Linked DNA regions of Arabidopsis thaliana. The protein of the gene in region 1 interacts with the protein of each later gene in a pairwise test. Each region holds a gene or a part of one and is shown in the gene's direction. Other genes may lie near its edges. The genes, in order: AGL79 and bHLH104.

Region 1 (17,862 bases):
TCTTTCCATAGAAATCTTAATCGTGATCTAATTCCTTCTGGTCCACCGGGAAAACGCATCATAAAACCAGTAGTCACACATTGTTCTTGATTTATACTTAAAATAGATTTGGACAACTTCTGCAGTTACTTGCCCAGAAAGAAATACTCATATCTTCTCGAATATAATACCGATTGAAACTCTGTCAGTTGGTATGGCTTCATGGCAACGTGATATGTTTAGAGATGTCTTATTTAACAACTGATTCTCTATGGTGCAACGGGAATGATCCTTACAAAACCCTATCTTGGAACTGTTCTTCCTCCTTCCTCTTTTCCTTCTTCTTTGATGCTATTGCTCTGTGCAAAGCTCCAATCTGCTCATATCATCCTCCTCTAAGCTTTACTCACAATCATAATCCAACTTGTGCTCTCCTAACACTTGACCGTGATGATCTCTTCTCCTCCGTGACGACTCCTTGGCCTCCATCTCCGTGATCTTCTTCTTCCTCTTACCTCCTCTTTCTTTATCACTCTCGCTCTTTTTCCATGATTACGATATGATCTTCTCCTCTCTTGTGGCTGTGCCCAACTCATCTTCTCCTTTACAGATGATCGATCACCATAACGTCAAACAACATGTCATCTCACCAACTCTGCAACGATGGCTCACAAACTCGTCACCAATGACCGACAAAGCTTTTGTTATGTTATTGTTGCTGCTTTTAGGGTTTCAGTTCAGGCTTCACTTTGACGGCTCTTCCAAGAAGGAGATATATACATATGTATATATATGCTCACAACATAAAAACACAACAACCCTTAACATTTTATTCTTGGGTTCAATTAGGCTTTAATGGGCTTTATCATTATTTCGAAAACAATTAGGCCCTATAATGTGGGAGTGGGGTGTTACATTACGCGTGGGTTTATTTGATATATTTTGGTGAAAATTATATTTGAGTGATTGTTATTAAATATTATCTTATCTTACTTTTTTAATTTCTATTAAAGAATTTTTTCTTTTCAAATACGCAATTTTAAAATTATAAAAATAATAGTGCTTGAGAATCAAATTTGATTAAAAGAATCACGAATCAATCTTGTTATTAATCTTATCGAGAACCAATTTTTCTTTATACTAGTTTTTGTCATCTAACTCATTATGTCTGTAGGAACGAAGTGAAAAATTCAGGAAACTGAGGAAGGGTCAAATTCCTCACACAACAAGTCGAAAAGGAATGACTCGATTAGCTGATGAGATGATATGTATTTATATATTGATTTGTATTAATTTTGATAGTTGTATTTATATATTGATTTGTAAAGTGTTGAGGTACTTTCTTATGATTAATCATCAGTTTTACATGAGTATTTATACATCCACCATTACTTTAGAAACTAGAAACTTTTATATTTTTTATTTTACCGATTTGTAGAATTTCTCTTTCTTGTTGTAGAAAGTTTCTTGACTTTAGTTTTATTTTTCCTCATCTTTTAATAGGTTTTTCCTTATCGTTTAAACTAAAGCTAAGATTAACATATTTTCAGGTTTTTGAATTTTTCTATAAAACATCTTTGAATGATTTCAATATATGATTTGACATTTAATTGTTTTAGGAACTTAACATATATTCGATTGTTTAAAATAAGAAACCTGGTTTTTATTTTCCTTTTTTTTTAATTTTAAAATATAAAGTAATTACTATTTTCAAAAATGTTAATTAATTAGATGTTAATTATGTTAATTATTGATGTGCCAGCTCTCGATTGGTCGCTCTAAATCCCACGTGGACGCCTTTAGAAGTAAATAGCTTCAACTTTTATATAGTATAGATTTAGATAGAATAAGCAAATTAAACAATCATTACCTTATCTTTTATAACTCTCAACCTAATTCCCACCCCTAATTTCAATGAATAAGATTTCACTAAGAACACAAAAAAAGAGCGAGCGCACGGAAAAGGCAAATACCCCTAATCATCTAAATTTTACATTGTTTCCAAGTGATTTTTAACTTGATAAAAATAAAATCACCAAGAACATGTCACAAGATATGCAATTCAATGTATAAAATTCATTAAAGATTAAAATGAACTCAAACATAAACGCATGGTCAAAGGATATTACTTGCATCAAGTTCACTAAACACACTTAGTAACAATGAGATAGTCAACATACTTCTCATCATCCATATATAAAATCTTTGACGGACACCTTACGTATCATGTTCTTCTCTTTTATTTGAATCAAATCAGATCAGAATTCTTGAATTAACACATCTGCATTTTTGGTTTTTCAAGCTTTGCATTCACCTTCTCTCACCTTGTTCTTCTTCTTCTTACCCTAATTTCAAAATCCATAAATATCCACCAAAATTGGCGGATGTAAAGTCTCCCGAAAAACTTTATCTTTTATTCATTCATGTGGTTAGAGTTTAGCGGATATGTTTGGATGATCAGTAGTTATAAATATTGGAATAGTATTTTTGTTCAAGTACCTTTTAATATCCATTTATTGATAAACAAATGTTAAATCACAAATGAATAATATGTAATATAATTATTTACTTCAAATATATCAACAATGGATATTAAAATGTAAAAAAAATTATCTTAATTTATTACATACAAATATAGACAATAAATGTTATTTTAAGTAGCGGAAAAAAATGAGAATGAGAGAAAGAAAAATGAGGTGGAAAGAGAAAAAAAAATGAAAAAAAAGATGTGAATTTGTTTGTCAACGTTTTCCTTTAAACATAATGATATGTCTATAATTTGCATGTTTTGTGTGTTCATTCATCATCGTTTTGAGTCTAGTTTCATATCTTTCATCACTATTTTATATCATTTCTCATCATTCTTGCATACTTTGCATGATTAGGATAGCTTTGCATACATATTGTATTTTTGAGTTGTTTTCAGGTGATTTGGGCTGTTGGCGAGGAAATTGGAAGAAGCGAGCCAGAACCAGAAGACATACTCGACCCCCAGGTCGAGTACATCCAACACCATACTCGACCCCCTGGTCGAGTGACATTGGAGCCATTCTTCCAATCTACTCGACCCCGTGGTCGAGTAACCATAGCTCAGGCCACTCGATGACACCACTCGACCCCATGGTCGAGTATCACTACACCACACCACTTGACCATCACTCGGCCATTCACTCTACCACATCACTCAACCCCCTGGTCGAGTATCATCACTCAACACCAACACCATCACTCGACCAAACACTCGATCACATCTTCAAAGTCTACTCAAATTCGCACTTAACAAGACAAGCTGAGCACAAGGACGAGAAGAGGAGAAGAAGAAGTGTTTGGAAGCGGTCTGGAGCTTCATCCGATCACGAAGCCCATCTCGGCCCATTATCACTCTATGGGCCGGTCGATTAGGTTCCCGGCCCATCAACTATCATTTTATTTTGTTTTGTATAAATAGGTGTCTGAGGGTTTTGTCCTAAGACATCCAGTCGACATTGAGTTTTTGCTTCAGTTTTATTTTCTGATTTACTCTGGCTGCGCCGCTTTGCTTCTGTAACCTGTAATTCGATATTTTTCCAAGTTATTCAGATTCAGCATTTGATTTCATCTGTCATCTTGTTTCTCTACTCTTTATCTCTTTACTTATGCAATATTATCATTTACCTGCGTTTATGTCTTTGAGCATGTTGTTTGAGTAGTGACATAGAGTTCTTAAGGATGGGATAGAATGGTTGTGGAATCCTTAGTCTGTAGAATGGTTAAGTTTTAGAATTGATTGAAATCCCTTCAGGACTAGTTGTGTTTACTGCTTATTTCTTTCTGATCAACTGGAATTCGATCCAAAGCATTCCCGCACCCAGAAGGTATTCGATGGAATGCTTGATCCACTAGTTCTTGAGATATGCATCTCTATCCCAAGGGATTGGCCGTTTAGAGCGTGTATTGACTTTATTAGTCGGTTCTTATTGCCTGTATAGTTAGATTCCGTTAATGGGAATTAGTCTAGGCTTGCTTTGCTTGAAGATTTCTATCACGGGAGTGAATAGATCTGTTGTTGAACCTTTTGTCTAGAGATAGCTTGATTGCGCTTGTTAACCATCCGAATAGGCTAGGATACCACTCCATTTGATTACCCCATCCTTAGGAATTTCTCGTCTAACTGATTTCTCAGTTTTATCGCTATCGCTTAATCGTTCTCATTGCATGTTTTTTAGTTTTTGCAATTACTCGACCAACTTACTCGACCACACCTAGTGTCTGGCAACAGACTGTGCAGTCGAGTACAGTTGTCTCATTTCCTGTCTGTTACTCGACTAGCATACTCGACCACACCGAAGGGCTGGCAACAGACTGTGCAGTCGAGTATAGCTGTTTCATTTCCTACCTGTTACTCGATCACATCCTGCTTCTGTCATCAACCAGTTGTGGTCGAGTGATTTTAGTAATTCTGTTAAAATTTTTGTTTTCTGCATGTTTGCTTATGACTGTTAGAAACCTCAAAACCGTTATTGCTTGGCTTGACTTAGTGACTTCTGATCACATCTCATCTGTTTGCATCACACCTTATTGGATTGACACCTAAAATACTACAACGACAAGATAGTGTTTTAGGATAATTGACTAAAAACATACTATCACAAAATATCTTGTTGAAGGATATTTTGTTATTGATTTGAATTGAACCGTTAAAAAAAATTATAAAAAAAAATATAAAATGTGTCTCTTTTGATATGAAACTAGAAAAAAGTGTGCCATTATGTATCTCACCCTATAAATAGAGGCAAGTTCTTTATATCTTTTGCTTCCTGCTTTAGAAAAATGAAAAAGCTGCTTAAACAATACCTTGTGGAACTTGTGGATCTGTATCTATTGGGCGTCTACGGTATTTACCTTATTACCTAATTCCAGTTTTAGGTGTCTCTATCTTGATGTTTCTCTTAACGCTTTGTATTTATCTTCTACTACCCATAATATTTTACAGATATCTTATTGAAGTTATCGTCGATGATGGTTGCCAACTTTTCATATTTATTATTTTTGATGAAGCACGAAAAATATTGTTGAAAGCCACTGCATCTAACTTGGCTTCTAGAAATGTAAGACTATTAAATTACCATAACTATATCTTATTTTTCATACTCCAACCTTTTGTTTTTAAATAGAATGTAGGTGAAAACGACCCCTATGGAGAGATTGTACCCTAGGAGATCCACAATATAATTAGAAGAGATTTCATTTTCTACATCAAAGTATCATGCACTGCTAAACACCAAAGTTTCTCCGTCTCTAAAATGGTGACACATTCCCCCTGGTCACCAAAAGGGTATGTCACAATCCCTATATTCATATATATTTATCTACTTCTGAACTTTATTTTCTACCACTTACAGTCATAATATTTTTGTAAATACCAAATTGTTACCGATCAATTACCAGTTTTCCATGTGTACTAACGACCCAACAATTCCGTTCAGCCGTTTGGCCGGAATTTGGTCGGAAAGTCACCAAAAAATATTATGTCAAAAAAGTTCCAACAATCTTAACTGTTTTCAAGTATATTATCACCAATTGTGGTTTCAAAGCTCTCTCCCTAGGTTAATTGAACAAAAAAAAACGTAGAACAACGCAAAACAAAACTTATATACGTCACAAGTATGTTATCAGATGAAACACTTTCCACGAATAGATCTTCTTCACTTAAGGACACGAAATAGATGGGTATTTTAGGTTTCATTCCAAAAATGTTGAAGAAGTATCGGATAGTGCAATTACAAGATACAAGGACTTCTGTAAAGAAAAGTCTGCGTGGCAACCAAATGAAATAAGCAAGGATACCAAGGGAGGACCAACCGGACAGAATAATTTACACTGATCTCAAGAAGAGCTCGATCTCCTCCTACCAATATTTTAGAATATTCATGGGATATTACCGACTCGATCGATGCCGATTCATCTCTATCTCATTTAAGCCGACCTAAAGATTCTAATATAATGACTTAATGAGAGCCTCGCCCAGGCCAGAAGTTCAACACACCTCTTGCATCTCCCTTTTCTTCTTATAAAAGTTAATCTCACATACGAGAGAGCAATAAGCCTTTAGAATTGCACTAGGTACTTTTTATGCTTTTTCATTTGGTTCTTCTATACACTCTTCTTAATCATGTTAACTCAATTATTCATTCACTTATTCAATTCTTATTCATCACTATGACCCATGGTTCGAAGGAGTTCTAATGAACTGAATTATGATTACTATGATTTTCTATATTTTTTTCTCTCTTTTTTTAAAGATTACTAGGATTTGGCTTTTCAATAAGCAAATTACTGCATGAACTAAACTGATCACTTGGTACATCAAAATTGGTAACAGGTTTCCTAAGTACAACGTATCCCAGTAGGGCTCATTACACAAAAAACATGTACTTCCCCTTTCACGTATTGGGCAGCAAGCTCCATTAGGTTTAGGCTTAAAAACTAGAGCTTTGGGGGAATTTTAACATGTGGGCTTAAGCCTAATGAGATAGGGTTTGGGTTCGGTCGTCTCAAGATGGAATAATATTGTCTTGTCTCACTTGTTGTTTTAGTGGAAAACTTGGTGTTGTCATACTATAAAGAAGAAAAAGACATCCAAGCAGATTGAAACTCCAATGACACTCACTACCCTTAGATCAATAATTAATGATTTTTATTAGATGAAGTGCTTCTATGCCATTTATCAATACGAACGAATAAACTAAACATAATCTGCTAAAGGTTCTATCCAAGAAACTAAGTATCGACCCACAATTGGTATGCACTTGCATTGATTTTTTTCTGCCAGGAATTTTCACTTTGAATGATGGTTGTTTTCCATTAATATTTACTCTTGAGACCATTTATATTTAAAAGTCTATAATACCAAAACAGGGATGCCAAATATGGTATATATATAATACTTTTTCTTGCTACACAAATAAGGTTTTCCAAAACTTCGAAAATAATCAAGGGTTTCAACACTGGGAAAACTCTAGTGTTCCAAAACTGTAAATTCTGCGTTAAATTTTTGAAACAATCATAGATTTTAATAAGAAGAATATATAAGATTGGTTTCTTAACTTATACCCGTAGTCGTTATTCGATCCAGAGGTTGATGCATTGGTTTATGTTTTATATAAACCACTGTTAGTTTGCCAATGGTTTCAATAGTTTCTTTTTGTTGTCGTCCTACCCCACTTAGATATAATAACCAAAAGAGGATGCAATTTATAATTATTGTGATGGATGCTCAAAAGGAAAAAAAGTTGAAAAAGGGTTGATGGTGCAAATTGGAGCATGCAAGAATGGTGCCCAATTATATGCATAGCATCTTCCCTAATCCTCAACTATGTATTTTTCAATTGAGTATACGAATATTTTATGCTTTAATGTTTTAATTAATATTATATTGTTTTTTTTAAAAAATATATGTTATTAAAGAAGTTCTCAAATCACATTTGTTTGGGAAGTCTGTCAGTTGGGCTTTTGCCTAATTGGTTTACCTGATAGTCAGAAATGCAGGCGGCCTGACTACCCCCTGGCATTAGTCGGAAAGCATTTCAAACTCCGGACAGACAGTGTGGTGGTCCTTCAGGGAGAAGTCCACTCTAAAGTACTTCGGTGCGTTTCTACCGAAACTGACCGGATCAGTCGATAATGTTTATCAAAAGAAAAAAAAAAAAAAGAAGTTTTGCTTTTGTATGAAAAAATGGAAAAAAAAAAAAGGAAAAAAGAAGTTCTGTTTCTTTGAACTTTTTTTTATCCAATGATCTTAAAATACAATAGTTAACCCATAATAAATTATGCAAATAGCTAGCTCGAGTATATATTTTCGCACATATTTGGCTAGGGTTTACACAAGTTAATCTATATATATATATATATATATATATTTATATACATACTGATAATTGTTGCTATTGGCCAACATTAATAGAGACGGCAGTGCTAATTATTACTTCAAATATATTTGTTGGATCCTTATATCTAAATCGAACCCTTAATTATATCACAAATATTGAGAATAGTAGTAAACATTACATATTTTGTGGTGTGGACGGTTCCTTACCCTTAGAAATAAACAACTTGTATGTATATGTATAGAAATTAGAGAGCGTTGGGAATTAAAAAAAAAAAGGCATGTCCCTAAATCTCATCAAAGGGTCAAGTGCAAACACACAAACTTGTCCTAGGAATTGCGACATCGTGTAAGAGTTCCCCTTTGGCCTACATTTGTGGTACCACATCTACTTGATTCTTCAAATATATATATCTATACCCACTAGATGTTCCCAAGGAGCAAGTCATCCATCATCCTAGTAACCCATGTCTTATAATCCCATTAATGAAAAAAGTGTATATCGTAATTTTCTGATAGATCTTTTTTTACTTTTCTTTGTCTGGCTAAAATTATATTATCTTTTAAATTTTTTCATACAAAAATCTATTATCTTTTTTAATATTTTATAATCGCGACCGCGAAATCGGATGGTCCCCAACCTTTGAAAGCTCAGCGTGAGATTTGAATATTAGGGTTTAGTACAATTTGGAAGCCTAATTTAAGCATAATGGTCCCCATAATCTTCATTATATAAGTTGGTAATAGTACACTAAATATATGAATTTAAAATAAAAACAAAGTGACTAACTATTAATATATGTTAGTGCAGCGGACCACATTTGAATGTGAACCCATGAAAGGTCTATAGCGATCATGTTTTTATTACTAATCTAGTACTAAATCGCATTAACCCAAATTAAGTTACTTTTTAATTTGCATTGGACCACCACTTTAGGAACGTATATACATACAACTAAATGTACATTTTGCATAATACATGTAAACGTATATATATAATCTCATGCATTAGTATACATTATATATACGCCTCTAAATGTACATTTTGCTATCTCAGTTACCAATTCACCACCCTATAGTTTGACCTTCTATGCGAAACTCAATCCTCGTAGATGTCTTATGCCCAAATTTATTTTAACAATGTTAAATAGCGTCTAGATTTATGAAGAAAAAAAAAACTTTTTAATCAACCAAATATCTTTTATCAAACGTAGACAAAAACTCATTTAGAGTAGAGGATGTTGACTCTTTGTTCCTAAGCTCATTTTCTTATGGAAATATATAGTTTTGTCTTTAAAAATTTTATCAAACGTTATTCACGATCAAGAAAAAAATATAGGGTGAAGACAGTAAACATTTTTGTCGTAAATCTCTATATATATATCCTCAGTTTATATATATGATCAAGAATAGCATGTGTTTATTTATACTCATGTTCATTTTTGCCTCAACAATAATTTGTTCTTTCTAAATAAAACTGAAATTAAAGATCAAATTTGTTTGTTTGATTTTTGTTCTTTTTGTTTTGTTGCTAGAGTTAGAGGTAGACCCCTAGCTCATTTTGAATTCTCATGAAGATGCAAATCCATCGGTACCAATCTCGAATCATATTCATAAAATTAGGTCTTCATAAATTATGAAGTTCAAATCAGAAACTCAAGATATCAAATGACATTGGCTGGTTTTCTAACTTATGGATGCTAATTTTTGGCTCTGCAAAACCTCATATGATGCAATGGACGGTCAAGTTTTAAGAAACTAATATGAAATTGGGATTTTGTTTTCTTTTATGAATTAAGGTTCAATTTGAGATATATATGATTGTTATAGTTTGAAGAAGTTGAAAGTTTTTTAATCTGTTTTAAAGAATATCACTTGGAGAGTGGAAGATATTCTTAAACTAACACTAACGTAAGATATAATTTGTTCAATAGAAAAAAGTGGTTATCCAAGCTACACAAACTTTTTAGACTTATTTCTCTCATTCTTCTAGAGATTTTTAATGAAATTTGTATATACTTGAAATGCATATAAAATAAATAAGAAAACAATATCTACTTAATGTCCTGTTCAAGAATTATTAAGAAATTTCACTACGTTGTTAAGTCCATTTTACTCCACCTTCTCCACTGGAGTTAGACTCTACTAAGTCGCGTTATCCTGCAGAGTAAAGATTGACTATGCATTGGACCTTGTCGATGTGAAAATGTTAAAAAGATAATTATTATGAAATCTCTACTATAACATATTTGGTTTCCTCAATTTTAAAATACCTATTTTTTTCTCAGTTTACCATTAACCAATCTATTCCGTGATATTTAATGTTTAAACCCTTCTTCAATTCTATTTAACCTACATTCTAAACAAGGTGTCCTCATTTTCAAAATCCTAAACTCATCTTCATCTATATTTCTATTTTCTGCCAAAATCATACCACAAAAAACATATACGAAAAATGACCACGGAAATTGTCTTTTATTGTTTATTTCCAAAGTCAACCAAGTTGACTGTTCTTTATATAATGATTTTTTTTTAAAAAATTATATATTGAGCTAAGAAAATATTAAGTGTAATTTTCAAAAAGAGAAAATATATTTATTATAAAAATCTATAGTGGTGGATCAAAATTCTGGTTTAAATTATTGTATCAATTTTGAGGTTCAAATTTTAGGATGGAAGAGAAACGTAGAATGCACTTAAAGTTCTGTCGATTTTTGTTAGTACATAATCCCTCATATAACCATACATATACTTATTGCAATAACCATACGTTAAGAATAGGGACCAACTTCATCGGTGCTTCTGTTAGACATTTCAAGAATGATATATCACATTCATGTATCTCCGTATATGTATTAAGACCAATGACTAAACTCAGCCATTGTAGATATAGTTCAGGTAAAACTGTCAATTGTGGATCAGTATGTTGAAAATTGTTAACTATGGTTCGCTTGTAACAGAATATAAATATAATAATAATATATAATACTAATAGTAATATATATAATAATAATAAAAAGCAAGCACTAATTATTTTATAGAAACACTTTAAAAAGTATTAAAATCTCATTTAAAACAACTCTCCAAGTTGGTAGTCCATTGATCTACAAGACAGCTCCACCTGAACCACATCCACAATGTAAAATTTAACCGTACACATAAACCATGATCATAAGATGCAACATGGTAAAATCTCTGGTGAAGTTTTCGTAATCGATGATGAATATATATATATATATATATATATATATATATATATATATATATATATATATATATATATATATACAATATATTTTTATTTTCAATCTATTTAGTAAGTACATATTTGTTATGAAAGTACAAAAATAACATTGTAATAGGTCAAGCTCTTTGTGGTGGTTTACATTGTAATAGGTCAAGCTCTTTATTATTATTTTACTATATGTATCTTCTTATCCATTCTTATATTTTATATCATATATGGTCAAAAGAACCAATCGTATCACAGCAGCATTTGTTAATAGAACTTTGATCTTGGTAATTACAGGTTCTATATTGAAATCGCAGGAGCCAAACCAGCAACTTGGGTTAATTATTAACTTCATTCACCAATAATAATAATTGATCGTCAAGACTATTTCGGACACAAAGACATAAATACTTGTTTTCTGCTCTCCCTTTCCCTAAATGTATCATTTGATACTTTCTCTTTTTCCCTCCATATGCCTTTTGTGTGTATAAATATATGTATATGAATAAGTTCACAAAAATAGAAAATTAAATCAAATCTTCGCGTAATTTCTCATCAAACTCCACTTTTCTTCTTTTTAAGAGAATCTAGGGTTTCTTCTACTACTTCTTCTTTCTTCTTTAGGTGGTCAAATTTCCAAGTTCTTCTTTTAGCTCTCTCTTTTGTTTCCAAGAAACCTGAGAAGAATTTTTGTAGATATGGGAAGAGGAAGGGTTCAGCTACGGCGGATCGAGAATAAGATAAGGAGACAAGTGACATTTTCAAAGCGAAGGACCGGTTTGGTAAAGAAAGCTCAAGAGATCTCAGTGTTATGTGATGCTGAAGTTGCTTTGATTGTTTTCTCCCCCAAAGGCAAACTCTTTGAGTACTCTGCTGGTTCCAGGTTTGAATCTTTCCTAAGCTAATTAATTTACCAACTTATTTTAAGATCGCATATTTATCTACATAAATATTAGCCTATATTTCATGTTTGACATATTGGGAAAAGTGGTATATATAGGTTTCACATAGAGGAGATTGATTTGAAATTGGCTGAGATTGTTTAATTAATTAAATCAGTTTATAGCCAATTTTGTTTAGTTCTTCCATCTCTAACTTAGAGAAGATCATAAAAAATGAATGATTGTACAATACTATATATTAAATCAAAAGAAGTGATTAATAGAGATGATCGCATCAAAAAATAATTGTGAGACATAACAGTTCCACAGATTATATATTATCCAAAAAATATGATGGAAGAATGTGCTAATTGGGCAAACATGATTACGAAATAATATACGTATTAATATAATTTGATTCTTGAGGACATATGTATATATGTTGAACATATCATGAATAAAGAGAGATCTTTCATTTCATTGTTGTGTAAGTTTGTTCTTCAACGTTCTGGAGATAATTAAAACATGATCTACATAAGTTTAAAGAGATATTTAATACAAAGTGTACAAAAAAACTTTAGAATTAACACCTGCAGGCTTAGGATCAAACAAGTAGATCTAATGCTCAAAGTTAGCTTACTTTGGCACTCATAGGAGACTTCATTTTATTTATTTCAAGGAAAAATATAATAAATTCAAGGAAAACGAATTTTAAAAAGGGTTCTTGAATCAAAATAATTTTAATGTTCTTCTTTTGGAATAAATCTGCTATTTACATTTTACTTAAAAATAAAATTGAATGTTGACTAAAATAAAAATAAAATGTTGACTATAATACAAAATAATTTTGGTGGTTTTAACTAACTGAACATATTCTGGTAATAACAAAACATTATTTATCAGAGAATTTAATATAAAAGAAATGAACTGTAAATAATAGCAATTTAATTTTTGAAAAATAAATCCAATTTTAAGATGACGATTTTTTTTTTTTTAGTAATTGTCAAAACAGAACAGTAAAATACTAGGAGACATAATTTGTGATGACACCGTCTAAATTATCTCCAAGGTTCATGTAATATCTAATGCGGTATCATTGGATCAAAATGAACGACACACCAAAAGAAAAACAATTATCTCAATATACACAAACATACTAAAGAGGGACAAGAAATCTACTATAAATAGAAGAGTCAGCTTTCGATCATGATTGTAGTAACTAATAATAGTAAACATGAAACTTTGATTTGATTATGTTAAAATAAAAATTTAAGATATACAGCTAAAATCTTGTTGGAAATTGGAAGCATGACAAGCCTTTGTATAGAGCTTTGTGCATTGCTTTGTCTTTTGGTTGGCGGAACCTAGGACTAACCTCGATCGTCACATGAAAATATACAAACCCATGAAGCTACTTTTCTAGCTTGTAGGCTTAACTAGAATGTTCAAAAATGAATTTGCTTGCAAACATATTTTAACAAAATTTGAGTAGACTTGGTGTATCGATTGCTATAGTCTAATCAATACATTCAATTAATGTATCAAATTGTTTGCAAATGTAGATTAAAGTTCTCGATATAGAGCTTAAATTAATTTAGAAATGTTTCAACTAAAGTACAAAAATGATTATTCAATATCTTCAATGTATTTGTTGAGTGATGATAGTATATACATCGAGTGTTGATTGTTGTTTGATATACTATTTTTTTAGCATGGAGAGAATTCTTGATCGATATGAGAGGTCTGCCTACGCCGGTCAAGATATTCCTACACCAAATTTGGATTCACAGGTTCTTAAGCACATTTAAGACATATGAGTATATATATATGAATCATTGTTTATGGTATGTTTATGGTAAACTTAACTATCGTGTATCGATCTTTTTATCATTTGTAGGGAGAGTGCTCAACAGAATGTTCAAAGCTCTTGAGGATGATTGATGTCCTGCAAAGAAGCCTGAGGTAAGGACTTATTACTTACGTATCATCCAAACATAAAATACATACCTAAGATATCTAAATATGTACAAGATAAGAAATTGCATCTTTATCAAATTATAAGGCACTTAAGAGGAGAAGAGGTGGATGGTCTAAGTATCAGAGACCTTCAAGGTGTGGAGATGCAACTTGATACTGCCCTCAAGAAAACTCGCTCTAGAAAGGTTATTTATATGTATACAAAAACATTGTAGTATATTTTCTATACATGCATGGATCATTTGTATATACAAATGTGTATATCTAATAATGTGCAGTTTGTGTATGCATAAATATACACAGATATATAGATAAACTACACCTAATCATGTAGTAATTATTGTTTTGGTTTGGGAGCACAGAACCAGCTCATGGTAGAGTCCATAGCACAGCTTCAGAAAAAGGTAATACACTAATTAAGAGACTATCGTTGTTATGGTTGTGCCTAGGCCTGGACGTTTGAGTTTACGGGTCCGGTTTTAGTTTGGTTCTATTTTTTGGTTTTTGAGTTTAGGATCCATTCAAGTAATTGTTTTGGATATTGTTTCCACCTAACTTTTGGTATTTCGAGTATTTTTGGTTATTCGGTCTAAAAATAACTAATTATTTTAGGTGTATAAAATGTATTTCGATTCGCTGAATATTTCAGTCTGGTTCCCGTTCTTTCAGTTATGAAGTTATAATCCATTCGGATATTTACGAATTTTGGTTCGTTTTTCTATTAAGTTCCTCTCGGTTTGGTTAGAGTTTGGTTATTTTGCCTAGGACTACTTTTGCCATGCAAACTCATGTATCTGCCTGTCTTTTTTTTCTTTTCGGGTTTGTACAAAACATTATACTTATAGTAGATCTTCACAATTAGTAGTCTTTGATTTTGAGAAATAAACACAAATACATATACTAGATCTTGAATACTTGACTCGATATGAGTTAAACTAATAAATATGTGTCTTTTCTTTTGATGGCATAGGAGAAGGAACTAAAAGAACTGAAGAAACAGCTAACAAAGAAGGTGAAAGTGATGTTAGAATCTTTGACTATATATATAACCAGTTTCTTATAAAATGTAGAATTCACTTAACTTTTAAGAGAGATTAGTCTAGGCGCTAGTTTGAACTCTCTCAATCAAGTGTCGATTTTAAATTTATATTTGAATGTTAAGCAATCGGTGACTGGTAAATAGTAACTATAACAAGTATTGAATTTGGCAGGCTGGTGAAAGGGAAGACTTTCAAACGCAAAACCTCAGCCATGACTTAGCCTCCTTGGCAACACCGCCATTTGAATCACCCCATGAGCTTCGCCGGACAATATCTCCTCCTCCTCCTCCTTTATCTTCGGGGTACTTTAAAGTTTGATTTCACATAGCTACAAAGATAGTAAAAATATAAATGATAATTTGTTAGTGTTGATCAATGATAGTAAGGTAACATATTATAGTTTGTATCAATATTTATTTATCGTGTATATGAGATGAATTAATAAACTGCTTATAGGGATACATCACAAAGGGATGGAGTTGGAGAAGTAGCTGCCGGAACCCTAATTCGAAGGACGAATGCAACGTTGCCTCATTGGATGCCCCAGCTCACCGGAGAATAGAGGTCCGAAACAATCTTGGTTTTTTAATTTTCTGTACTTAATATATAGTACCGGAATAACTTCTTGAGTTAAGTAGAACCAATCCGAATAAAAGAAAATATCTTCTGGCTTGGCATTCTAGGAACAGGCTTAAGAGGCCCTCAAGTTTCAAACTTTGAACGAATTTAGAAACATTGTATGTCTAATGTGATTTTGTATATTGTATCTACGATTTTCACTTTACTGTTTGTGAAAAATGTAATTTCAGTGTAATGAAAAAGAAGAAAAGAACTATAAACTATATTTTTTATGACATATTAATTTCTATAGAAGGTAGGAGAAAACGTTTAATCTATTTTAGAAGCGTTTTGTAAACAGATTTTGCTAAAACAAAATACTTGACAATGTTTGGTAATTTTCTAAAAGTAATTACGATATTTTTTTCAAATAGTCTTGACTATTAAATATGCCATTCAAGAGTCGTCCTCACACTAAGCCGTGTGAACCAATTTACGACTCTGCCTCGCCACGCGATTCCTCCACGCCTTAGCATCGCCGGAGAAAGAAATATTGATTCTCTGCATTGAATTTCATTTTTTCCGGGAGATAGAAACATTTGTCATATGAAAAAGTGTGACTTAAAAACTATAGATTAAAGTATTTCATATACATAAGACGATGTCTTGGTTTAATTTAGACCTTTATGTTGCCATTTGTCCATTGTTATCTTTTATTTATCGATATATTATAGTTTGTCTTGAATAAATCAAACTTCGATATATTTCATTTTGTGTTTTTCCATTTGTCTAATTTATTTTTCTTTTATATATAAAAACTTTTCTTTTGGCCATGTAGCAAATATTGTTTTTTTGTTTATAGTGAATCTCATCACAATAAATAGCCATTTGTGAAAAGAAATCATATCTTCGTCTATGGTTTAAAATTTAAATGATAAACTTCAACAAATGGCCTTGATGTTGTAACTTTTGATACAATGTAATCTAATCAAAATAAATAGGCATTATGAAAAGAAGTCACCTTGTTTTGTCTTTGCTTCGCAATTTGAATACTGTAGATTATTTCTTGGTGATTCAATTAATTATTAATGATTCATCAATCTTCTTATTACAATATGGACTTTACTTCAAAGAAGATCATGACACGCGTTAACTTTTAAACAAGCATTATGTTGAATTTCGGTTGATATATATTAGGTTTTGATTTAATATATTGTTCAAACTACATACGAATATTTAACAAAAGAAAATGTCAAAAGAGTAACACACTATGTATATTCTCTAAATCTACTAAAGAAAAAGGCTTTTTCCCAAAAACAAAATAGAAAGAAAGTAAAAGACTCTTTCCCAAAAGCAAGTGATGATGATTTGGCCGTAGTAAAATTTACCTCTATAAAAGGATTACTTCTCAATGTATTAGAGAGAACCTAATATTTAAAACAACAACAACATTACAACACATTAGTAAAAAAAAAAGAAAAAAAAATCGATGGAGACAATGAAGGTAGAAACAATTGCTAAGGAAATCATAAAACCATCTTCCACAACTCCAAATGATCTCCAAACTCTCCAACTCTCTATTTATGATCACATCCTCCCTCCTGTTTACACAGTCGCCTTTCTCTTCTACACAAAAGATGATTTGATCTCTCCTGAACAAAGTTCTCACAAACTCAAGACTTCTCTTGCCGAAACCTTGACAAAATTCTACCCTCTTGCAGGCAGAATCAAAGGCGTCACCATCGATTGTAACGACGAAGGAGCTGTTTTTGTTGACGCTCGTGTCAATAACTATCCTCTCTCTGATTTCCTGAGATCTCCGGATTTTAAAACCCTCCAACAGTTACTTCCTCTGGACGTCATCGATGATCCTTACGAGGCAGCTACTACATGGCCTTTGCTACTCGTGAAGGCGACTTACTTTCCATGTGGTGGCATGGCCATAGGATTATGCATCACTCACAAAATCGCGGACGCAACCTCCATCTCAACTTTCATTCAGTCTTGGGCTGCTATGGCTCGAGGAGAGGCTGGCGACATAGTGGCTGATCCCGTGTTTGCGGCAGCAAATTTCTACCCACCAGCAAATGAGTTATTTAAGTTTCCGGTTGACGAAAATGCCAACAAGATAAGCCAAATAACGAAGAGATTCGTGTTCAGTGCGTCTAAGTTGGAAGAGCTCAGGACCAAAGCAGCTAGTGAAGACTTTGTAGGCCGGCCTAAGCGGGTGGAAAGTGTCACTGCGCTTCTTTGGAAAGCCTTTGTTGCAGCTGCATCCTCAAATACAAATGCTTGTGATATGAAGGTATTGATCCAGCCCTCTAACTTGCG
Region 2 (15,962 bases), on another chromosome or scaffold:
AACAATAGGTATTCTTATTTGGGCGCAGTTAGGTGATCCAGTGCTCATTCGCTCATCCTTACATGTGGCTTTGCCCTTACTGCTTTTTGCTTTACTCTGCATGCCCTTGGCATTCCTTTTTGGCGTGGTCACTGCAGTTGGGCATGTGAAATGGCTTGTAGTCATCATTTGCATTATATCTGTTTTATTCTTTTCTTGGGCGATCTTTGTCCTTGGCCCTCACGTCATGCTACAACGGTCATACGTTTCTCCCAAGTACGCTGGTGACTTTCTCGTGACTTTTATGCAGTATAAAGACATAATTGGGCTTTTTGTGTCTTTGATAAAGTTTCTTTTTTGTGGTTGTTATTAAGAGTTTGTAGCCTATTCAAAGGCATTCTTCGTATGAAAAAATCATCAAAAGTTTATTGATGAAAGGAGATTTTTGTTCTCTTTCAAAATAAAAATAAAAAGCTAGATATGATGGTCTCTCTGAGAAGCGGTATCTTGGTAGCTTTAACTGATAGCTCAACTCACTCAATCCGTAGTCATCGAACACCGACTTCACAAGCTTGTCGTGCGTTATTTCCGTATCTATTTGCACAACTCTACACCATTTATCGACGGTGTTAAATACAAATTCTTTACCCAATCGTATCGAGAGAAGGATGAAAGAAGAATGAGGAAGACGGTGATGAATTGGAAATTCCGATGATGTGAAAAACTCATGTGAAGAAGACGAGTTGAAAAAAAAAACGTTTCGTATTTCCTTTGATGATGATGACATGGACTGTTGCATCCGACATCATTTTTTTAATTGATGAAGTGACAAGTAAGCCACCAAACAAACATGAAAATTTGCCTAAATAAATCAGCCAAATAAAGTTATATGTTAGTCGCAACATGAATACTATTACAGTAATTAAAAACGAAAAAACGGCAAGTTACTTCAGCCGTTTAGCAAACAAAATAAAACACACACACATGATTCGATTGCTAACCAACACAAGAAACAAAACAAACACATCTTTGCCTATAAGATAATGTGTATAAACCATACAACTAGTGATGTGACGGAGGACAATGAGAAGACTATTTCATTATGCTGAACCGTCCTTGACGTCTTAGCAGTTAGCACTGTAAAATGGGTTCATATCATAGTAAACGAATCACTCTACACAACAATTACATGCTAAAAACTAAGAAGCTAAGTTACCAAATTCTCTATAGAAATAGCAATCACTTACAATAACCAATGCTACATAACAACTTTTGAGTCCATAACTGATAAATTGATAGAAACTGTTTGAATTTGCAAACCCAAAACCGTTTCTTAGGATGGAGAAATGGGTTTGTATTTTTCTATTTCCGATCAAGGAAAAATATATCAGGCAACAACTGCGGAAGATAGGGCATTTTGGGATGAAGGAGGAAACCATAGTTAACAAGCGGAAACAATTTCAAAGGTTGATTTCAAAGATCATAAAGTCAAAGTCAAATCCCCATAGAGAGACTCGGTTACGGAAGTGTTGGTATCCGAATATCCGATAGTCATAGCCTCAGAACTTATGTTAGAATCAATAGGTTTAACCATGCAGTGTGCACTTTGGAAATCAAGCCAAGAAAAGCTATCCACGCAAACAATTTGCGTTAGAGCGAAATCGGATAAAGAGAAAGAAAATATAGGATTTAAAAATCTTATAGCGAGTAAGACTTATTTGAAACATCGTCAAATTTACTTCTTTTGGTGTATATTTCTCATTATATGGCGTATATATCTGTTTATGTAAGAAATTGTTTCCAAAAATTACTGTATACTGACTTTGTAATCTTGTTTTGATATCAATGAATTTATAAGGAAAAAAATAAAATAAAAATATAAAGTATGATGTACATGTAAAAAAAGTTGTTTCAAGCGTAATTGTTTTTTGGCTAGAGAATGAATATACAGCAACAGTAAACTAATAAACTTGCGATGAACTAAAATTTCTGGTATTCCTACAATCAATGAATCACTAATTTATCTATAAGTTTTAGCTATATCCGCTTAAACCCCGCCTCAACTTGCTCTCTGGTCTGGGTATAGTTGGGCTACAACAGTGAAACCGTAATTAGGAAAGAAATGATAAAAACCCAATCCAGAAGCTTACTGCAAGATAAAGAGAAAGATCATGAAGAGGTAGGAGTGATTCATATAACAAACAGGGTCACGTTGTCACTTTCTCCCAGAAAAATACAAATTTAGACTAACTATATAAGGAGACGACTTCAGAGTCTTCTAATGGGTTAGTATAACTCGGGTCATCTTTTAATCTCTGGCTTTAAAGACATGGTAAGATTCCATATATATGAAAACTCTGTGTGTGGTGGATTGCTTTTTTCATTTAAGGCAAAGATAGGTTTTAAGGCAGAAGACAAGAACGACCTTTGGCTTATTTATAGGAGACCACCACTTTCACTTGAGTCGAGACAGTAACGACATTTAGAATTTGCATTACTCATCTTGTCACTTTCTCCCAGGAAAAAAAAATACAAATTTAGACCAACTATATTAGGAGACGACTTCAAAGTCTTCTAATGAGTTAGTAACTGGGGTCATCTTTTAATCGCCGGCTTTCAAGACATGTACAATTTCATATGAAAACTCTGTGTGTGGTGGATTGCATCCAAGACAGTTTTAAGACAGAAGATAAGAACGGCCTTTGCTTATTTATAGGAGACCACCACTCCTCTCGATAACCATGACTCGAGACATTAACGACTTTTAAAACTAAGGGACGAACCTTAAGCAAAAGCTCTTGCATTACTCAAATTCTTCTGCCACTTGGTAAGTCTTTTTCTCTGCCCCTTCTGCATGCAATGGTTGACTTTTTTGTTTGTGGACGTGGTAGTAACTAGTAAACTTAAATCTGTGTTTTCACTTTTCAAACCATTTGTGTGATTATTTTAGGTTTGCGATGGACAGTTCTGGAGCAGATCTAGATAGAATTGAGGCACAAAGGTCAATGTTAGTTTCTCATGATCAACGGAAAGGTACATGAGTCATAGGGTGGCCACAAATTTTGAATATTCATTACATGTGCTTTATTAACGAGTATAGTGACCCTATATAAATTATTATTGACACCTATGCAAAACCAACCAATCTACATAAAAAAGATAAGGAAAAACTATTCTACTTGATTCTTGTTATAAACTAGGATATAACACTAGGATATAACTAGCAATATACCACATAACAATTATATTGTTTTATAAAAATTTAATAAAATTAGTCTTATTCAACATGTCTTTTATTAACAAAATAATTAATAAAAATATAACCCATATGAATTACCGGTTAATAATATTTTAACTTTTTATTAATATCGATTCAAACCTGTTTCACCATATAACATGTCTCACAATATAACTTGTCCTATATTATTTTAAATTGTTTATATGTTTAAATATATTTATAATATTTTAAACTTTTTAATTGAATTTGGATTTATTAATTATAATATTATAACTTAAAAAATTTACTATATCAGGTAAACTTAAACATTTCAACTATAAAAAAAACCGTATAGAAACTTTGTAAATTTGGATATTTACTAAGTTAAATTTCATGTTCATTAAGATTCGAATTCATTTTTTATCTTATTTTTTTTATGGCTCTGAACGATTGTCTAAATATTTTAGCTGATGTTGGATGTTGAACTCAATTTATTTTCTATTAATTGAGTAATATATGTTCGTTTTAAACAATTGGAATCACAAGAATACAGACAAATTAAACTTTTTATGTCTTATATGATGATTCAAAATAATTAAAAAATAAATCTTAATGATAGGAGAATCATTCTTTTAAATTTTATGATTTTTTTATTTTATAATTGATGTTAAAATCTTTTAATTGTAAAGTTGTTTGGTTATAACTTATAAGTAATGACATTCTTTGTAAATACTAACTGAAAACAAAGTTACTCTCTAAAATGTAATTCAAAAATATTAATATAGATAGTTAAGAACTAATAAATGTCACTATCCAAGATTTATATAATTTAGTAAAAAATCTACATAATTTTTTTTTAACAAAACGCGCAAGTGTTTATGTTCTTTTCTCTTATGAGTCTTCAACTTGACAAATCTCGATTAGTTAAAATTTAGATTAATTTTGAATTGACTATTAGATAAAGATATTTATGATTTCATTAACTTATTATATTCTGATATTTACAAATTTATATTTTAGATTTTTCATAAGTTAATTGATTTCATAGTTAGAACTCACAAATTTTGTCTCATGAAATGTAAGACGAGTGGTTAATTCGATTGATGAAATAAAACAGTAGAAATATTTTGGCAAAAAGAAAACAATCGTAAGTGATACAAAATAGTTAGAAGTGATAAAAATTAGCGATAAGAGAGCTGTAAAACTTTCGATATATCTACATAAGATACTAACTACTATACTAGTAAATAACTATTTTGACCCTGGTAACAAATTGTTTTACCAGATTTCTCTCACAGCGGAGGAGTTGGCACCACGTCACCTACGGGCGACACCGAACCTGTGCCAAAGTTCCGTACTAACCTTAAATTGTCGGATCTTTTCGCTCTCCCTGGTGAAGATGTCGAGATGACTCCGGAGATTTTTGGTGGAATGAGTAATGGGGAAAAAGAATGTCTGGAGAAGTTGAGAAGCAATGGAACGCCAATGGAACGTGTCAAGAGCAATACAGGAGATTCAATTCTTCATATTGCTGCTAAATGGGGTCATCTGGAACTAGTGAAGGAGATTATCTTTGAATGTCCATGCCTTCTATTCGAGCAAAACTCAAGCCGTCAGACACCGCTACATGTGGCTACTCATGGCGGTCATACCAAAGTTGTTGAGGCTCTTGTTGCATCGGTAACATCTGCTTTAGCTAGTCTGAGTACTGAAGAGAGTGAGGGACTGAATCCACATGTTCTTAAGGACGAAGATGGAAATACTGCTCTGTACTACGCCATTGAAGGACGCTATTTGGAGATGGCTACCTGTCTGGTGAACGCGGACAAGGATGCTCCTTTTCTTGGAAATAACAAGGGAATATCTTCCTTGTACGAAGCCGTAGACGCTGGAAATAAATTTGAAGACCTTGTGAAAGCAATTTTGAAAACCACAGACGACAACGTGGACCGTGAAGTGAGGAAGTTTAACTTAGATTCGAAATTACAAGGGAACAAACATCTTGCACATGTTGCTTTGAAGGCCAAAAGTATAGGTTTGTTTTTTGTTTTCTTTAATAATCAGTAACAGCTACGTTTAATCTGTTAAAATTATGTAAAACCAGCTTGGGACGAGAATCTCCTCCCCAAGATGGCTAATTGTTGTTCCCAATTGTTTGAGTAGGTGTCCTTGATGTTATTCTTGATGAATATCCAAGTCTTATGGACGAGCAAGATGAAGATGGTAGGACTTGTCTTTCATACGGAGCATCCATTGGGTATTATAAAGGACTATGCAACATCTTAAACCGATCAACAAAGGGTGTTTATGTCTGCGACCAAGATGGTTCTTTTCCAATTCATTCGGCTGCAAAAAACGAACATTACGAAATTATTAAAGAGTTTATAAAACGTTGTCCAGCTTCAAAATACCTTCTTAACAGACTTGGTCAGAACATTCTCCACGTGGCGGCAAAAAATGAGGCCTCTCTTACTGCATATATGTTGATGCATGATAAAGATACGAAACATCTGGGTGTTGGGCAAGATGTGGACGGGAATACACCTTTGCACCTTGCCGTCATGAACTGGGACTTTGACTCCATTACTTGTCTTGCTAGCCGTAACCACGAGATACTGAAATTACGAAACAAAAGCGGCTTAAGAGCTAGGGATATTGCCGAGTCAGAGGTGAAACCCAACTACATCTTTCATGAGGTATTTCTGATTCCGTTTCATACAACACATTTGATCCCTCATAAATGATTTATAGCTTGACCTCCATATTTTTGGAATTACAGAGGTGGACACTGGCGCTCTTATTATACGCTATTCACTCAAGTGGTTTCGAATCTGTTAAGTCATTAACAATACAGTCAGTGCCACTAGACCCTAAGAAAAACAGACATTACGTCAACGCTCTTCTCGTGGTAGCGGCTCTTGTAGCCACAGTGACGTTTGCTGCAGGCTTTACAATACCAGGTGGTTATATCAGCGATAGCAAAAAACCAAACTTGGGCAGGGCAACTTTGGCCACTAACCCAACTCTCTTCATTTTTCTGCTTTTTGACATCTTGGCAATGCAAAGTTCTGTTGCAACAATATGTACTCTTATTTGGGCGCAGTTGGGTGATCTAGCACTCATCCTCAAATCCTTACATGTGGCCTTGCCCTTACTACTTTTTTCATTACTATGCATGCCCGTAGCATTCCTTTTTGGCGTGATCACTGCAATTGCCCATGTGAAATGGCTTTTAGTCACCATTAGCATTATATCTGGTGGATTCTTCCTTTTCGCAATCTTTATCCTTGGCCCTCACGTCATGCTACAGCGCTCACACCTTCCGCCCAGTTCTGGTATATTTCTCAAGACTTTTATGCTGACTATAGACATATCTGAGTTGTTTGTGATTTTGATCAAAGCTTGTTTTGGTTGTGTGGCGTGTTCCGAATAAATCATCAAAAGTTTATAGATCAAAGGATATTTTTCTTCTCTTTTTTTTTTCTTTCAAAAAGCTACGAGATATGCTGGTCTCTAGCTCTGAGAAGCGGCATCTTGATCATACAACTCATTCGAAGTCCTATCAGAATTATCTGTAGTTGTAATAAAGCGTGAAAAGTATATCATTCGAAGAGATTTTCCTCTAAAATAATCGAGTGATATTTTATTATTCGGTTTAGTGGATACCAGTTTACTAATCTCTCGAATTTATGAACCACATTCAAAGGAGATGAGTTTAACAAAAAAAAAAGGTAAATTGTTTTTTATTCTCGTCGTGCGTTCCACATGAGTCGTTTTCAAGAGCAATATAGACGATACTTCACAAGAATTATTATTTTTGTTGGGGTATAAAAATTTGAAGATACGTTTGGCAACGACAATACGACGTTAGATTGTTCCAAGAGGTGCAAAAACTTAGGGACCCTCTTTATTCGTTCACTGTAACCACTGACCACAACATGACTAGGTAGACTCTTCTTTTTGTCAATGTTGATGTTTATACGATTTTGATGAGACTGGCTCTATCAAGATATGAATCTCTGATCATATCTCCACTAATCTTTCATCTTGTTATTCCCTCATTTACTTTTGATTTCCTTCTCTCTCTCTCTTTTTTATGTATACAAATTTTTCTTTATTTCGCTTCACTAAACCCCACCATGTAATTGTGTGAGTTTTGGCGAAGTGGCGCAACACCGTAGAGCACACCAACACTAACCCAATCCATTTTATGACCGTAAATTTTGTTGTTGATTAGTGTATTTTTTTCTTGTTTAGTTATTCTGAGAAGTAAATTTTTTTTTTACAATTAGTTTTTAAACATAGTAAAATAAATTTATGACAGATTATAATATTATTTTAAAAATCAATAATATCTAACAAATTAAATAAACAAATCACAAATTACTATATTTTAAATAAATATTGATAATTTTAATTATATTATTTTGTTTATTGGTTAACTCGCAGGATATGCGAGTTAATTCATTTGAGATTGTAATCCGCCATATACTAACTCGATAACCCTGACTTTTTAGAAATCTAAAAGTATAACCCTATAATAAAATAGATTATGTCCAACTCGCGGATTCTAAACCTGAATTGACATGGCGGAACCATTCATAAAACCATACCAATTCTTGCGTTTTGGAAAGTTGGTTTCCTTTTCATTTCTTTGAATTTGATCCTAGATTGTGTAGTTCTCAAGCTCATGCTCTTGCTCGTCAAAAACGTATCAACGATTTGCTTTTCCTTTAGACGTTCTTGCATCGGATTGGTTTACTCAACTCCACTCGATGAAAAAGTTACTATCTTAAAAAGAACAAATGCAAATTCAATAAAATTCCCCAATATCTACGCATGAAAATATGATTCTGTCTTTTTTTTGTTTGTCTATCTTTCAATACTTTAAAAAGTGTATTTCTAGAGGCGATTTGTCATTTCCCGAATAGGAATTTGAGTAAAAAAAAACACTCTGTTTTTTATTTCCACTAATATCAAATCGGCGAATATAGTTCCCACCATTCTTATCTCCTTGTCGTCACTCGGAATTTTTTAAATAATAGGATCGCTTTAATAATATAATCTCTATAATTTATAGTTCCTTTTCCAATATTGGCGTCTCCGTTGAAGCTTTCCACAAATCTCAAATTTGTTTGGAGACTCTCAAATGTATCCTTCTCTCGACGATGATTTCGTCTCTGATTTGTTTTGCTTCGATCAAAGGTTCGTCCTTTCGCACTCTTCTCTTCCTTCACCTTCCTCTGTTTTCTCTATCTCTTTCGATTCAGTTGTTTTATCGAATTTGATCCCTTTTTTCAATTGCAAAATCATATCTTTAATGTTCAATTCGATTTCTGTGAAAAGTGTTGTTGTTTTTTTCGCATTTCAGGGGGAAAGGTTGTGTCTTTTGATGATAATTTGACGAACCCTAATGTATCTGAAAGCTGTTAAATTGAATAGGAGAAGAAGTAGCTTTATGGATGTTGTTGTTTATATTTACTCCTATTGATGGATGTGAATCTTTTTGGTCATGATGACTCTTGTAGCAATGGAGCAGAACTTGATGATTACACACAGTTTGGTGTAAATTTGCAGACTGATCAAGAGGATACCTTTCCAGATTTTGTGTCATATGGTGTGAATTTGCAGCAGGAGCCAGATGAAGTCTTTAGTATTGGAGCTTCTCAATTGGATTTGTCCTCGTATAATGGAGTTTTGTCGCTAGAGCCAGAACAGGTGGGGCAACAAGATTGTGAAGTTGTGCAGGAAGAAGAAGTAGAGATCAATTCTGGTTCATCTGGTGGAGCTGTTAAGGAAGAACAGGAACATTTAGATGACGATTGCTCCAGAAAGCGGTGAGTTTTGAAAAAATATAAACTTTTTGTGATTTGGTGGTAGTTGGTTGTGTTTTTAATTGAATCTGTGATGGTTGTTGATAGGGCAAGGACTGGATCGTGTAGCAGAGGAGGAGGAACTAAAGCGTGTCGTGAAAGGTTGAGGAGGGAGAAGCTAAATGAGAGGTATGTTTAGAGCTTAGTCTATGTTTTTGTTTTGTGAAGTGAGTTGTCTCAAGGGGAAAAAAATTGTTGTTGTTCTGTTAGGTTTATGGATTTGAGCTCGGTTTTGGAGCCTGGGAGGACTCCTAAGACTGATAAACCGGCTATACTCGATGATGCAATCCGTATATTGAATCAACTTAGAGATGAAGCTCTTAAGCTTGAAGAAACTAACCAGAAGCTTTTAGAGGAGATCAAGAGTCTCAAGGTTGGTTGTTCATTCACTTTCACCTAAACCAAGAATCTTGTTCAATGGGATGTGAACAGATTTCTAAGTTTGTATGTTTCTTTATAGGCGGAGAAGAACGAGCTGAGGGAGGAAAAGCTGGTGTTGAAGGCGGATAAAGAGAAGACAGAACAACAGTTAAAGTCTATGACGGCTCCATCTTCAGGGTTCATACCTCATATTCCAGCTGCATTTAACCACAACAAAATGGCTGTTTATCCAAGTTACGGTTACATGCCAATGTGGCATTATATGCCTCAATCCGTTCGTGACACATCTCGTGATCAAGAACTCAGGCCTCCTGCTGCTTAAACTCTCAATTGTTTTTTTTTGGTACCCATAGGGAACTCATAGAGATTTCTGAATCACTTGGTTTAGGATTCTTCCGTTTGGCAAGTGTAAAAGCTTTACTCTTGATCTTGGGTTGTATTTTTCTTATAAAATAAATATAACTCCAGAAACTTGTGATTCTTCTCTGATCTATGAGTTCGAAAAGTTCAGTTATCAAAAACTTTAGCTCAGACCAAAAATGTTGCTCTCGTTGAGAGTTGAACTCAAGACCTCCCGCTTACTAAACGGGTGCTCTAACCAACTGAGCTACGAGAGCTTCTTGCTGTTGTATTCTTCGCTATATGAATAATTATTTTTACCATTCACTGAGTAGCAACAAATTAGCCAATTAGGACCAAAGTGACAATGAATTTACAAAGGTTGAGCTGATGGCTATTCCGTAGGTTAATAAATCAGTCGCGTTGTGAAATAAGTTGGAACAATAACATTGAAGTGGTGTCTCTAAGAAACAATAATCCATAAATATTTCTACAAAAAAGTGTCATAAAAGCTTCTTGAAGTAAGCAAAATGATTTGCAGAGATTTTGCCTTTCAATGGCCTCATCAGATAGACTCTTTAAACCCATCCTGGATTCCAAAATGAAAATAAAATACAGACCGAATAAAACCGATGAAAGATATGGCTTCTTCAGTTTGCTTTTGCCTTTGGAGCCTTTTTCCTGAGTTGCCTACCGTGTTTCCTTGAGTTTTTCATTCCAATGAAGAAGAGCAGTCCTCCAAGAAGAGCCAAGCTCTGAAAAGTTAACACAGAATAGAAAAAGATCTCAGGTCTATGTCAACAGTTGTTTAAACTTTCATTAAACAACCAATATGACATTAGCTAACCTGTGTAAATTTTGAAAATAGTTGGCCGAATTCCTTTCTGTCAACATCGTAGTTGTAGAAATCATACAGAATTGGGGTGGCAACGGCTTGATGCAGAAGCTGAAACCAGATTTCATAGAGTTAAACAGGGTTGTTTTCGTCATTCTGATAAGCGACAATATATTCGAAGGAACAGTTGGTGCATACCAAGAGATAAGCTCCCAATGAGCTGCCAAAGACAAACAATAGTCCCCCAATACCCTTCAAGGCTATAGCAGCAGCAACAAGAATCTTCATCTGCAAACCAAAGCAAAGTGAATAAAACAGGAAAACAAAAAAAAAAACGATTTGGTTACTGTGTTTGGACAAAGAATGGACATGAAGAAGCACATACATCGACTGGTGGCAATTGCTGGCCAGTGTGAGTTGTCACATGGTTTACAAAGGCATTGAATTTTGGTTTCAAAGATTTAGCTGATCGGCCACCATCTTCACCAAAATCATTGAACCTGAACAATGAAGTCATTAAAAATATTGGAACTTTCAATCAGTGAGGGAAAGAACAAAAGTGAGGTAAACTGTCTCTGTAGAGACTCAAATAGCAATGCTTTTCAACTAAACCAAGCAGACAGTCAAGGGGAACAAAGAAAGTTTTCTTCAATCAACGTATAAAGATACTACATTTGTAACGTCAGAAGAATTGTGTAACTTAAAACAAGAAATTAGAAGAGAAACTCCTTATACAGGCATTCAATATATGAGTTCATTGGTTGAGTCAAATTGATTCACAACAACCATAACAAAGCACCTAGTAAGATTTTCTTGGTTTCAAGACTTTAGAATCATGTGCTTAAATAACCAACCACCAACTACCAACTACCAACGAGACCAACTCAACAAGAAACTTCGCAACTTCAGGACAACCCACTTAATGAGTAATAAAAGAAAGAACTTAAAAAAAACAAAGTGCTAAAATTAGAGAATGATGTAATAACAGAAGAAAACATAGCAATGTTCGACAGTTATTGACCAATCAGAAACAAAATCTAACCAGAGATATCTTATCTATCAAATTCAACCCCAGCAAAGCAAGCAAGATCCATACTTTTCCTTCACTGTCCAACATTCTATTTCTCTTTCTCCTCCAAGAACTCACTCACTCAGCTATAATCGAGCTAAAACCTAAATCCATGATTCATAATTTGTGCACTTCTCTAAGACAACAGAGACAAAGAGCCCCCAGATTTTGAATTTTCTCAGATATAAAGAAAAAGCAGATCCTACTTACAGATCTAAACCGAGTAAAGAAGAGGAAATTGCTTACTCTTGCCATGCGGAGAGAAGAAATACGGAAACAAACAGAGCTCTACCAAGGAAAGAAGCTAACTCCATTGAAGCTCTCTCTTTGCCTTTTTTTTTTTTTTCTTCTCCGAATCAAACGCAGATACCAGAAAGAGAGAGAGAAGCGTCAGATTTGGGTCTTTAAATCAACAGACAGGAGGAGAAAGAAAACGAAGAGGCTGATTTTGAAATATTTAGAAATTTTTGGGGTCAAAAAGGTGAGATTTTTATTTCGTCGACCTACTCGCGCGAGTACAATGATGTTGGTTTTTGTACTCGCTACTTCGTTGGGAAGTAAACGCCACGTAGGATGCTTTACACGTTGCCTGGCCAATGACGTTCGTCCGAGTCATTTCAAGTATTTAAGCCGGCAACCAATAAAACGCGACTCATTATTACTAACATTTTAAATCAAAACTAACCTCAAATCAAATACCAAACTATTTTATCACCCTTTGGTATTTATTTAGAAAATCAATATAAATTTGATATTTTAAATAAATAAAATTAGTTTTATTTTAGGATAAAACTGAAAAAATTTATATATGAAATCGTGTATATGAATCTGGGCAACTTTTAAATAGTTGAGATTTTGTTTGGGAATTTTTCTATTTAGATTCATTCTGTTTTATGATAATGGTAATATAAAGAGGTTAAATTTTAAAAAGCAACAATTTTACTTAAATTTATTTCATATAATATAATTTAATACAATTTTGCATAAAGTTTTAAAAAGAATTTATACTGTGAAAAAGGGGTCACAACTAAAATTATCATTTTTTGGTGAGTTTTTCTTGTCGTCTTGTATGCTAATGCTGGTTTAATTATTACATGTCTGGGAGTGTGTAAATTATCTTTTAGGAACATAAAAGACCAAGATTGATAGATGCGTTTTCGAACGAAAAACAGTTTGTGTTTTAATACCGGTTTAACATGGCGTAATTTCAGCAATCACAAATTCACAACACCGTTTCTCCTTCTCCGATAACTACTACAACCCGGTTATCTCTAGTTCATCTAATTAGCTCTAAAACCGATTAAACCGGTTCCATATTTTAAACAACCAAGCCTAAGAACAAGCCCAACAACAACACTGAACAAGCCAACATTGAACATGTTTATTATTTCTGTGATCACAGTTCTAGAGTTTAACATTGTCTCTTTCTCCCAAAACATGTGTTTTTCAAATAAACCAAAGATTCACTCTCTGAAAGACGCTTTCTTAGAGCTTAGGTGTTGCAAACACTCTAGTCTCTAAACCAAGAATCCCACAAAGCTCCGGATACAAACTCTTCCTTATCGACGCATAAACCTCACCGCTCCATTTCTTCGCCGCCAATTTCTCACCAAGGCGCACACTAGCCACAACAACACCTTCCTCACTATCATACGCGGCCGAGTCAACAATCCCCAAACCCACCGCTTCTTCTCCTCTAATCTTCTTCCCACTCAACAACAGCTCTCTCCTCGCCGCACTCGTCCCGATCTTAGCCCTAACCAACGCCGAGAAATAATCCGGCATCGAAAGCCCGATGTCAACTTCACTCATATACAGAACCCCACGATCTTTCCTCATGAACACGTAATCATGGCTCAAAGCCAAAATCAATCCCGCGGCGGCGGCGTGGCCGTTCAAGGCGGCGATCGTCGGCATAGGGAGATCGAGAAGCGCTGCTACCACCGGTTTGAATGATTCAACCATTTGGTGAAGCCGGTTTGCGGCTCCGGTTTTGGATCCGGCGGTTTGAGCCCATGCAAGATCGAATCCGTTGGAGAAGAATTTGCCGTTGGCGGTGGTGATGAGGATGGATCCACGGGTGGATTGAGATTTGGCTTGTTCGAGAAGGGAGAGAATGGTGGCAATTGTGTCGGGGTGGAATCTGTGTTCGCCGTCTCCGGTTAGGGTTAGGAGGAAGAGATCGCCGCGTTTCTCTAACGTACACATGGTGGTGATCGGAGGAAGAAGAAGATTTCTGGATGATAATGAAAACTTGAAATGTGTGAGAAATCGTGTTGTTGTTGAATTGTGCAAATATAGAGAGAAATATACCTTATCCTGATTGGTCTATGTTTCCATTTTGGTTCAATCTGTTGTAAAGGCCCATGGGCCGGCGTGTACGAGATCTCTTTTTTTGGTCAAACATAATTTCATTTGGATTTAATACCAAATATAATTTAGACCTTGAATGGTACTAATATCTAACATGTTTTTAGTTTTTGATTTTTCTGAAAAAAAAATTTAATTTTTCAATCAAGATTATGAAAATAAATATTTTCTCTACAAAAAGAGCATCTAGTTTTTTTAAAAGGGTTTTCGCAAATTTCTAGAGAAAATTCAAAATCTCTTTAAAAAGTTTTATCCTCACTAATGTCAATGAGAAATGATATAAACCATCTTTTCCTTTCTCATAGGATTCTTCTTCTTTCCTTTTTTCTTTAAAGAAATCTATAATTTTAGTTACACATGTTTTTTTTAATACAATTTATCTTTATAATCGTTTTTTTATATATTTTATTATCGGATGACTCAGTAAGTCTCGGTAAAAACATACCGAAATGCTACCGAATATACTACTTTCGATCTAAATAGAATTGTACCGTCACACTATCTGATCTTCATAGTCGTTTCCTCGTCCGCCTTGGATGTCCACTCACATCTCGTTGGAATTAACGACAGAAGAAGAAAAAGCATAGCTCAAGTGTAACAAGAAAATATGTGTTTATTGTTTGGTTTTTCCATCTTCGTTACTGACTTATTGTATTGGTTTTACATTCAAAAAAAAAAAAAAAAATGGTTATTTTTGTGTAACACTTCCTCTCTCTATATACAATGTTGTCTTTTGGATTAATTCCCCACACCATATAAGGTTTCTCGTGGGTTGTCTAATTCGGTTGAGTTTGGTTGATCAGACTGCACCCGTTTCTCATTCTATCTTATGGCGATATATACGATTATGGTCATATGACGTAATTTGGATATTATAAATAGATGCATGATGTGACATATATTGCTGATGCTAGTACGATTATCAAGTATGAATTACAAATATTCTAGCTAATATAACTTATCAATAGTTGTATTGATATGGTTATTAATATTGTTAAAATTTCAACTAAATGAAAAATAAAAAGACGTAGGTTAGATTAATTATGTTTTATTGGTGAGAAACAAATACGTGCTTAGTGAAATGGACGTTGACTTTTGTCGGCAATATTCATATTTCAACCATTTTTCTCCCAACAAGACAATGAGAGTTTCTAGAGGTTGTGAGTGGCCAAGTTATTTGCCGTTAAATCAACCATCCGACAAAGCTCCGGATACAAACTCTTCCTAATGGTTGCATACACCTCACCATTCCATTTCTTAGCGGCCAAACTTTCTCCAAGGCTCACTGTAGCCTCCACCACACCTTCCGCACTATCATGCGCCGCTGAGTCCACGATCCCGAGAGCCACCGCTTCTTCTCCTTTGAGCTTCTTCCCGCTCAGTAACAGCTCCCTTCTCGCGATACCTGACCCAACCTTAGCCACGACCAACGCCGAGAAGTAGTCCGGCACCGGTAGCCCGATGTCCACCTCGCTCATATATAGAACCCCACGGTCTTTCCTCATGAAAACGTAGTCGTGGCTCAGCGCAAACATCAGCCCCGAGGCTGCCGCGTGGCCGTTCAAGGCGGCGATCGTCGGCATTGGAAGATCGAGGAGGGCGGCTAACACCGGTTTAAAGGATTTGACCATTTGGTGCATCCGTTTTATAGCACCGTGTCCAGCGGATTGAGCCCACGCGAGGTCAAAGCCATTGGAGAAGAACTTTCCGTGACCGGTAGTGATGAGGACGGATCCTTTTGTGGATTGAGACTTTGCTTGTTCAAGAAGCGAGAGAACAGAGGCGATCGTGTCGGGGTGGAATCTGTGCTCGTCTTCGCCGGTTAGGGTTAGGAGAAAGAGATCGCCGCGCTTCTCTAACGTACACATGGTGCGTACGTTAAGGACTTACTGATTTAGG

Evidence for each region.
Region 2: the proteins of AGL79 (region 1) and bHLH104 interact in a two-hybrid assay, tested with the Arabidopsis thaliana proteins (one large-scale study listed by BioGRID).

The regions. Positions count from the first base shown.
Region 1 is NC_003074.8:11,897,346-11,915,207, forward strand, and holds AGL79 (AGAMOUS-like 79), read left to right. Parts: upstream 1-11,524; 5' UTR 11,525-11,773; coding exon 11,774-11,958; intron 11,959-13,667; coding exon 13,668-13,746; intron 13,747-13,853; coding exon 13,854-13,918; intron 13,919-14,018; coding exon 14,019-14,118; intron 14,119-14,295; coding exon 14,296-14,337; intron 14,338-14,903; coding exon 14,904-14,945; intron 14,946-15,144; coding exon 15,145-15,275; intron 15,276-15,429; coding exon 15,430-15,535; 3' UTR 15,536-15,821; downstream 15,822-17,862. Other genes in the region: AT3G30280 (HXXXD-type acyl-transferase family protein), read left to right, coding at 17,021-17,862.
Region 2 is NC_003075.7:8,291,732-8,307,693, forward strand, and holds bHLH104 (basic helix-loop-helix (bHLH) DNA-binding superfamily protein), read left to right. Parts: upstream 1-7,665; 5' UTR 7,666-8,345; coding exon 8,346-8,401; exon of another isoform or gene 8,402-8,686; coding exon of another isoform or gene 8,687-8,724; coding exon 8,725-9,033; intron 9,034-9,117; coding exon 9,118-9,198; intron 9,199-9,279; coding exon 9,280-9,442; intron 9,443-9,529; coding exon 9,530-9,772; 3' UTR 9,773-9,936; downstream 9,937-15,962. Other genes in the region: AT4G14390 (Ankyrin repeat family protein), read left to right, coding at 1-352; ACD6 (ankyrin repeat family protein), read left to right, coding at 2,937-3,012, 4,482-5,231, 5,360-5,892, 5,976-6,629; AT4G14420 (HR-like lesion-inducing protein-like protein), read right to left, coding at 10,440-10,544, 10,637-10,735, 10,823-10,912, 11,010-11,124, 11,940-12,007; IBR10 (indole-3-butyric acid response 10), read right to left, coding at 13,179-13,901; HCD1 (3-hydroxyacyl-CoA dehydratase 1), read right to left, coding at 15,215-15,931.